2 linked regions of the Daphnia pulex genome follow. The protein of the gene in region 2 interacts with the protein of the main gene of each other region in a pairwise test. Links are inferred from orthologs where the notes say so. Each region holds a gene or a part of one and is shown on either strand. Other genes may lie near its edges. The genes, in order: serine/threonine-protein kinase mos-like and myotubularin-related protein 9-like.

Evidence for each region.
Region 1: the proteins of myotubularin-related protein 9-like (region 2) and serine/threonine-protein kinase mos-like interact in binary tests that used the Homo sapiens proteins (3 or more experiments, as listed by UniProt). The link is inferred for Daphnia pulex from reciprocal best matches to the Homo sapiens genes MTMR9 and MOS.

What each region holds. Positions count from the first base shown.
Region 1 is NC_060021.1:7,376,576-7,380,197, forward strand, and holds serine/threonine-protein kinase mos-like, read right to left. Parts: upstream 2,092-3,622; 5' UTR 1,931-2,091; coding exon 1,573-1,930; intron 1,509-1,572; coding exon 1,295-1,508; intron 1,235-1,294; coding exon 1,075-1,234; intron 1,000-1,074; coding exon 835-999; intron 777-834; coding exon 621-776; 3' UTR 591-620; downstream 1-590. Other genes in the region: peptidyl-prolyl cis-trans isomerase H-like, read right to left, coding at 134-166; U6 snRNA-associated Sm-like protein LSm5, read left to right, coding at 189-221, 281-478, 552-590.
Region 2 is NC_060028.1:7,381,293-7,385,872, reverse strand, and holds myotubularin-related protein 9-like, read left to right. Parts: upstream 1-1,721; 5' UTR 1,722-1,951; intron 1,952-2,009; 5' UTR 2,010-2,023; coding exon 2,024-2,170; intron 2,171-2,235; coding exon 2,236-2,404; intron 2,405-2,483; coding exon 2,484-2,764; intron 2,765-2,826; coding exon 2,827-2,976; intron 2,977-3,037; coding exon 3,038-3,152; intron 3,153-3,218; coding exon 3,219-3,447; intron 3,448-3,522; coding exon 3,523-3,752; intron 3,753-3,825; coding exon 3,826-3,995; intron 3,996-4,064; coding exon 4,065-4,274; 3' UTR 4,275-4,349; downstream 4,350-4,580. Other genes in the region: protein kinase C-binding protein 1-like, read right to left, coding at 31-160, 229-417, 477-623, 716-1,242. UniProt on the Homo sapiens protein: Acts as an adapter for myotubularin-related phosphatases. Increases lipid phosphatase MTMR6 catalytic activity, specifically towards phosphatidylinositol 3,5-bisphosphate and MTMR6 binding affinity for phosphorylated phosphatidylinositols.

The sequences.
Region 1 (3,622 bases), on a different chromosome or scaffold from region 2:
CATATTTCCATTCCGGAGTGCAATAGCCACTTTTGACGCTAGAGGACTCCGGACTCCGGAGTGCAATAGCCACTTTTGACACTAGAGCGCTCCGGACTCCGGAGTGCAATAGATTTTACCAAACTTAACTTACAAATTTTCGAAGTTGGCGTGGAAGACATTTCATTTTTTCCCTCTAATTAAATAAAATGGCTGCACCAGTACCCACGCTTTTACCTCTGGTAATACTTTTTTAAAGTTATGCAATTAAATCTTCACCTAAATTTGGTGTGGTATACAGGAGTTGGTTGATAAATGCATTGGTTCAAGGATCCACATTATCATGAAGAATGACAAGGAAATAGTGGGAACTTTGCTAGGGTTCGACGATTTTGTCAACATGGTGCTGGAAGATGTGTCAGAATTTGAATCTACTCCAGAAGGAAGACGTGTGACTAAGCTAGACCAGATCCTGTTGAATGGAAACAACATAACTATGGTAAGGATGCTATAGCAACATAATTTATTGTCTTATTACTTGAACTAATAGCCATTTCATGATTGATATTTAGTTAGTTCCTGGTGGAGAGGGACCAGAAGCTCATTCATGAATTTTTCTTTAATTTTCGAAAGACAATACATCATTCACTCAAATCCTTGAGAATATTTACAATTTCTGACATAGTTGGGCGGTCTTCAGGTTTTGGTTGCCAACAGCTTTGATAAAGCTTACTAAATGTTGTTTCTTCTTCATTACAATTACTATTGAGGACTGGTCTTTCATCCTTGGCAACAACCTAATAACCAACAAGAAACTTAACAATGAATCACATAAAAAGTCTAAAAATGAAATACCAGGTATGCTACAGTGGGCCAGTCCAAGTCAGAAAAAGGTATTTGATTGTGTTCAAATTGCCATAATGTTATACCATAGGAATAGACATCAGATTTTGTTGAGGGAACATCCCCTTGAAGTATTTCTGGGGAACAGTAAGAAACTGTACCTACTCTTTGTTGGTACTGAAACAGAAATTAAATAGAACACAAATTACATCCATTTTCAATCACATCAAGATATGACAAGATAAAACTAACCTGGAATAAATCAAGCTGATGAATGTTTGCAGAATTTCCAAAGTCTCCCAATTTAATCCATTTTTCACTTTTCACCATAATATTAGCAGGTTTCACATCAAGGTGCAGCACTCCATTTGCATGACAATATTCAAGAGCCATGGCTAATTGTGTCGAATAGCTGTAAATTAAAAGTATACCATTAATCTAATTGTAATTTGGGGAAAGTCTGATTAAATACCTGAGAATGTCTCCCCATGGAATTTTCAAAGACATGCTAAGAAGTTGTTGAAGGTTAAGGGAACCCCAAGGTTCCATTAAAATTAGAACATCATCATCAACTTTCTCTATTTTAAGAGTGCTGATTATGTTGGGATGTGACAGCTTTTCCCCATTTATTTCATTGACCTGTTCTTTTGCAGCATTCTTTATTATTTTAACAGCAACTTGTGCATCTGGAAAATTAAATTACAGTACTGGTTTTTAAGGCTTTCAACTTTGATAAAGCGATCATATTACCTTTATACTTTGCCAACACAACTTGACCAAACCTTCCCCGTCCTAGTACATTAGATGAGTTGAGAGTGGTCTTAATTTTTGAAGCAAAAAGCAGCCTATGGGGACTATCAACAGAAAGTGAAATACTATCTCGTTTCTGAAAAAAATTATTTGGACTATTGAAGTTAAAATGGCTAGATGATGGGGATAATGAAGGTGTGGATTGGGGGTTGCACTGTGGAAAAGGTGATAACAAGGTGTGATATTGAGTGTGACCAGCTGGAACTGGACTCAACTTCAAATGATTGGGACTTTTAAAATCTTTAATAGGTAAAAAGCTTTTCAAACTAGCAGCTGCGACACACGGAGATCGTGACATGTCTTGAAACCCAAAACCCAAAACTGCCCTGTAGAATAAAAAAGGGGGGAGAGCTAAAACACTGTCTCTTTTTAACGTTTTCTAAAACCTTTTCCAAGATACACCCACCTCGACAAAAATATTCTAATTTAAAAGTGTTTTTCGAACCCACTCCGTATGTTTACTTAATGTCCCCGACGTTGTCATATCATTTTTAAAAACATAATAATGGAATAATTAATCAGCATGATTTTTTTTTTTAATTGCAAATGTAAAATCGGTAAATTTTGCCATTTTGGGGTGAATTTTCGACTAAATGAACCTGACGAGCTTTTCCTTTATTTGCCTCCACAGAACCAACCTGGAAATAACAAACAAAATGTTTCGTGTACATCTCTTGTTGGTTTGTTTTATTCTTGAGCACTTTTGCATTAAGTCATAGAAGTGTGATTAAGTTCCTTGCTTAATTTAAATGTGATGTGTGATTTAAATGAATATATTATATTTTAAAAATCTATAAAGTTAATGAAAGGGATCAGAAACATTAAATTAGAAGAATTCATGTATTACTTCAGACAAGTCACATCGGAATTCGATTGAGTCATAGAGACGAAATTTTAATTGAGTGAAAAAGACTTGTGAAATTTGTGAGATCAGGTGAACAGAAAGGAATCATTTTTTAATTTCTGTTTTGGGGAACGATAGTAGCTTCCCCTCTTTCAGGTGGAACGGACCTCGTTTGAAGAGTTCCGGTGGAAGTTCCTGGGCGGAGTTCTAGTTCCGGTGGAGATTTACCATCAGGTGCGGCACGGATCAAGGATTCATCTGCTTTCATTTGAGCAGACTGCGGATTCAGGGACGACGAACAGCAGTCGATGTGTTTGTTGCATTCTTCTATCGAGGCTCGATTAACTTGATCAACGTATATCATGCCGATTGCAGAGGCCACAATTAAAACAACAGCTGTGATGATTATCCAACCCTCGAATGAAATTCTCGTTTTAGTCTCAGAAGCCATTTTGAAGGAATCGAATCGTGGAATGTAAATCCAATGACCAGCCGCTTCTTATTGCTTTCAGTGGGTACAGCTCGGCTTGCAAGTGCATTTTGGCATTTAAATCGGAATTTTACTTTCAAACAAATTTATTTCATGCTGTGAAAGTTATAAATTTAGATCAAGTATAATTTTGACAATTTTGTTCACACATTGATGGATTATTTGCATGTTGAATTTAAAATTTTAACGCAAAAAAAAAGTTACGCCATCCCCGTTTGTCGAGAAGAAATGTGTGACTTGATTTCTTAGTTATACACCCGCAATGGAAGAAGTCAAAGGACAATGGAACAATTTAATCATTTTAACTGTTGTTAATTTAATCAAACTCGTGTATTTTATTGGGTTTGACAAATTCAGTCACATATGTTGTTGAGAAAAGCGACAAAACACAAATAGACGCAAAGCAAGTATTGAAACACATCACTCAGATTAGAACAAAGATATAAGACATCAAAAGATAAAATTATCCAACGGGAAGCTATACAAACAACGGAATGTCCGAGTTCACGCTACGAAAAACAGTGGAGCACATCGTGCAAGGAATACAAACACTTTTGGATTATTGACATTTCAATCCTAGGCTTGCTTACTTATGAGTTATATGACTTATGATAGCAATGAGTGCGATGGAAACTTTCGGACAGTTTGAGATCATC
Region 2 (4,580 bases):
ACAGAAACGTTGGGACTTTTTTCTCATTACCTGGCCATCCATATGACACACCCAGCAAAAAGTGTCATGGCGCGTAAATGTCTTGCTTTGCAATTCCATGAAATGGCTACCAACTTTGGTCGATGGGGTACTTGCTGTTGATGGAGTGCTTGTTATTGATCTAAAGTTTGCAAAAGTGCTACAGTTAGTTACAAATGCTTCGTAACGCCAGCTTCATTTTTTAGTTACTTTTTGTTTCTTTTCTCTTGAATTGGAGAACTATGAGGAGAATGCACGGCATCTGTCCCTCCTGTATCCTCCCATTTGCGCTTTGTGGCTTGTGTTTCCACTTTAACCTGTTCAACTTCGCTAGTTGCACTTCGAACATACGAGTCCATAGAGCTTTTGACAGCAATTTGGTATTTATGCATGAAAGACCTGTAAGAGAAATGGATCTCCAATATATGGCTTTAAAAAACAAGTTCAGATTTCCTTACTTTTGCTTTGCGATTATGTCAGGATTGATCTGTGATCGCGTGGTACGTCCTGCGGAAAGTGACACGTCGTTTGGAGATGGGCTGATGGGTAATTTAGTCCTGCTGGATCTTCTTAGAGCTGCTGATGGAGTTCCTTGCAGTTTAATGCTAGATGCAAAATTTAAAAAGAATTTTTTGAAATTGTTGCCATGTGGAACCCTTGAGAAGGAATAATGTATAGACTTAATTTTTGTATTTACTTTTGGTTTTGGTCTCCTTTGTCAGTAAGACTCTGTAAATCATCTTCTAACTGTTCATTTTCAACTACACCTGAGAGACTGTCCACATTCTTGCCTTCCTGCTTCATTATTGAACCATGGCTAAGAATGAGTCCTGGAGGTGCTTCCTCATCTGATGTTTCTCCAGTAGTACCATCATCCTTTGTAGCTGTTTGAATCCCAGCACCATCTGAGTCTAAAAGTTCTGGCATTTCTTCATCCTCTTCATCCACATCTTCATCTACGTCTTCATCTTCATCCTCCTCAGAATCTTCAGCTATAAAAAGACTTTGTACTTCATCATCATCAATCTGGCTCTGTTCATCACCATTTAGTTGGGGAGTGCCATCCCTAGGTGAAAGAGTGTCGAAGTTTTCACATGCAGTGGCCACATTATCTGCAGGCTCACTGTTTTCACTGTTCAGTTTTCTGGACATTAAACCAACATCCTCCATGACTCTATCACTGGAAGGTTCATTGATGACATCAGCAGTCGCAGCGTTATCCATTCCGGGCAGGCAGCACAGTTTTTCCCTTGTCCCCTTGATATCTGCAATTAGTGATTCCAAATAAATATGTTATTGCGAAACGGAAAATGAACGTAGAATTTAGCAAGCATACCACTGAGGACTGACCTTCCTGTGCTTCGTAGAAACACCGCTAGAGCAGGCGGAATCCGGAGAGGATTTTTCAATCAAACAAGCTCCGCCCACAGGCTATCTATATTTCGGTCCAGTGATGATGCTACAAACAAGAAGAATGTTACAAATTAAAAAGCATCATCAATAATGGTGTCGTGAAAACAAACCCACTCTATAAAAAGGTGTCACGAATCTTGAACCACTTCAGAAGCATGCGATATATTTCAGCTCAGGGTTTCGCCAGAATTATTTTACACACACACACACACACACAGTCACACACACAAGACACACCGGCGGTGTATATAGCAAACAACGTTGTCAATTGGGGATATGAAAAATATTTTTTTTTTCTGCTTTTCACGACACCAATGTTTACGTTTTTACGCTCACTTGGTATGAAGTGAAACGATAATTCACTGTCAGGATGAAAATAATTTCCAAAATACTGTAAATTTTAAGCGAATGCTGTATTTTTAACCTCATTTAGTCTTTATCGATCAATTGCGCGCGCAACTCGTTTCTGAAATCGTCCAGCTGGAGATTGTGACAGGTGAAGAAATCCTTACAATACAAGGTTTGTGGAAAATTATTAGGTTTCATTAAACCGATTTATGGATTGTCTCTTTCTGAAGGCTGAGCTGTGAAAATGGAGTTTGCACATCTCATCAAGTCACCAAGGGTAGAAAAGGTTTTGGTCCACCGCCCACTTCACAAATCTGTTGAAGGGGTGCTATGTATAACTGGGCACCACCTCATTTTCTCTGCTGGAGGAGAAAATCCTGATGAATTTTGGGTATACCAATTTTATTAAGTTTTTTGTAAATTACCTTCACATTGTTTTTTTTTTCATTTTTACAGCTGATTCATAGAATCATAGATTTAGTGGAAAGAAAACCCAACACACCTCCAGCTGCAGGAGGCACTCTTACACTCAAGTGCAAAGATTTTTCTGTTATCAGTTTTGATTTCAATAATACAGAAGAACTGATGAATGTTTCAGCTTCATTGGAGTGCTTATCATCCATAGGTATTTATTACAGATCGGTGCTTATAAGCCTACATCTTCTAAAACCACCTGCTAATAGATCATAATTTTTTTACCACAGAGAATCAGTCTCTTTATTATCCTTTCTTCTATCAGCCAGTTTACACTGCAATAGAAGATGGTTGGACAGCATTTAGGCCAGAAACTGAATTTTCCAAACTAGTCATGCAACAACAGGAAGACTGGAGGATTTCTTATGTCAATAAGGATTATTCAATCTGCTCGTCTTATCCATCTGCTGTTGTAGTTCCCAAGTCGGTCGATGATGACGTCTTAATAGCTGCTGCATCGTTTCGAGTTGGAGGGAGATTTCCAGTTCTCTCATACAGGCATGAAGGAGGAGTAAGTTGCCATTTAATCATAAATATGCTGCAATATTTTTATTTCTTTTTCTTTTTATTCAGGCTGTGATGATGAGAAGTAGTCAGCCTCATTCGGGACCAAATGTTAAGCGTTGTCGTGAGGATGAAAAACTTCTTAACAGTGTGTTGAAACCAGGGATGCGGGGTTACATTATTGATACCCGCCACCAGAGCACAACACCGACCCCCAAAGTATAATATCATTCTTTCAATCTAAAAATCTTGTCTAAATATCTAAAATTTCGTTCCAAAGTCTAAAGGTTCAGGTGGTTTTGAGACCGAATCTCACTACCCTCAATGGCGTCGCATTCATAAACCCATTGAAAGACTGCAGTCTTTACTTGAATCGCTATCCAAACTAGTTGAAGGTAAAAAGCAATATTGTTTGGCCCCCTAAAAGTGACATTTTGACATATTTATTAACCCCTTTTCAGCCTGCCTTGACAATGGCAGTTCTATGGATAAATGGCTGTCCCGCTTAGAATCTTCCCAATGGCTTTCGTACGTAAAAGAAACTATGAATTGTGCCTGTTTAGTTTCTCAGTGCATTGATCAAGAAACTGCTGCTGTTCTACTTCATGGAGGAGAAGGTCTTGATTCTACATTGGCCGTTTCTGCCCTCGCCCAGGTCATTCTTAGCCCTGACTCTCGCACAGTTCACGGGTAAGGTTTAATCCCCTTTGCAAATATCGAAAGGCTTCTATAGTTCTCCTGTGGTTATTTTTCTTTTTCTTCAAGTTTTGAGGCTTTGATCGAGCGTGAATGGATTCAAGCAGGTTATCCCTTTGTTCAACGCCATCACCGCTCGGCTCTGAGTAACACAGTCTCACGGAGCAAAGAAAATGCGCCGACTTTTTTACTATTTATTGATTGCACTTGGCAAATCATGCAGCAATTCCCATGCAGTTTTGAGTTTAATGAAGGATTTCTCCTTCAGTTGGCTCGTCATTCCTATTGGTCTCAATTCGGTAAAAAAGTAATTTAGCCTGGCATAAAACAACACGAAAACTAATGAATTGGATCATTAATCGTTGGGAATAGGTACTTTTCTGGGAAATAACGAATTAGATCGCTATCAAATGCAACTGTCGTCCAAGACTGTTAGTTTATGGTCACATTTAAATCGACCAGAAGTGCTTCGATCTTTCCTTAACCCGCTCTACGAGCCCAACAATCGCGTTATCTGGCCTTCAGTTGCTCCTATGAGCGTGGTATGCATAAATTTTCGTCAATTTAAATTCTTGTTTCTAATTCTAATCTTCTCTGATTCAATTTAAAAGAACTTGTGGCCAGCAATGTACCTCGCTTACGTGGTGGAACCCAGCATCTACGACAATGCCTGGCGTGACATTGCAGCAATTTGTGAGCAGGACAAAGAGCTGCGCTCTAAAGCTCAGCGTCTCCGCCGCCAACTGATAGATTTGGAACGTGATGCCATCGCGAAGGGACTACTTGATAGTCCTAGCAGCATTGGAACAGTCTTTGATTGAGTTTTCATTATATTTTCTCTGCTTGTTTATTATTTTTTCTTCCGTTGAGCAAAACAAAAAGAATTTGAAACTTTAGATGTGACGTTTCAATCTTTTGATATTAAGTCAGCAGTGTAAAGGACTGTCGTGGTTGTAATCTAACCATCTTTCTTCTTCAATCATCATCCATTTCACGGATGCACGAATTCTACTCATTTTTTTCTTCGAAAAAGCCTAAAAGAAAAATACCGACGCGGTGGTTTTTTAAGTGGGGTGAGCAATTCGTGTCATCCCTTCCAGAGTTGCACGACATGTTGTATAAAGTAA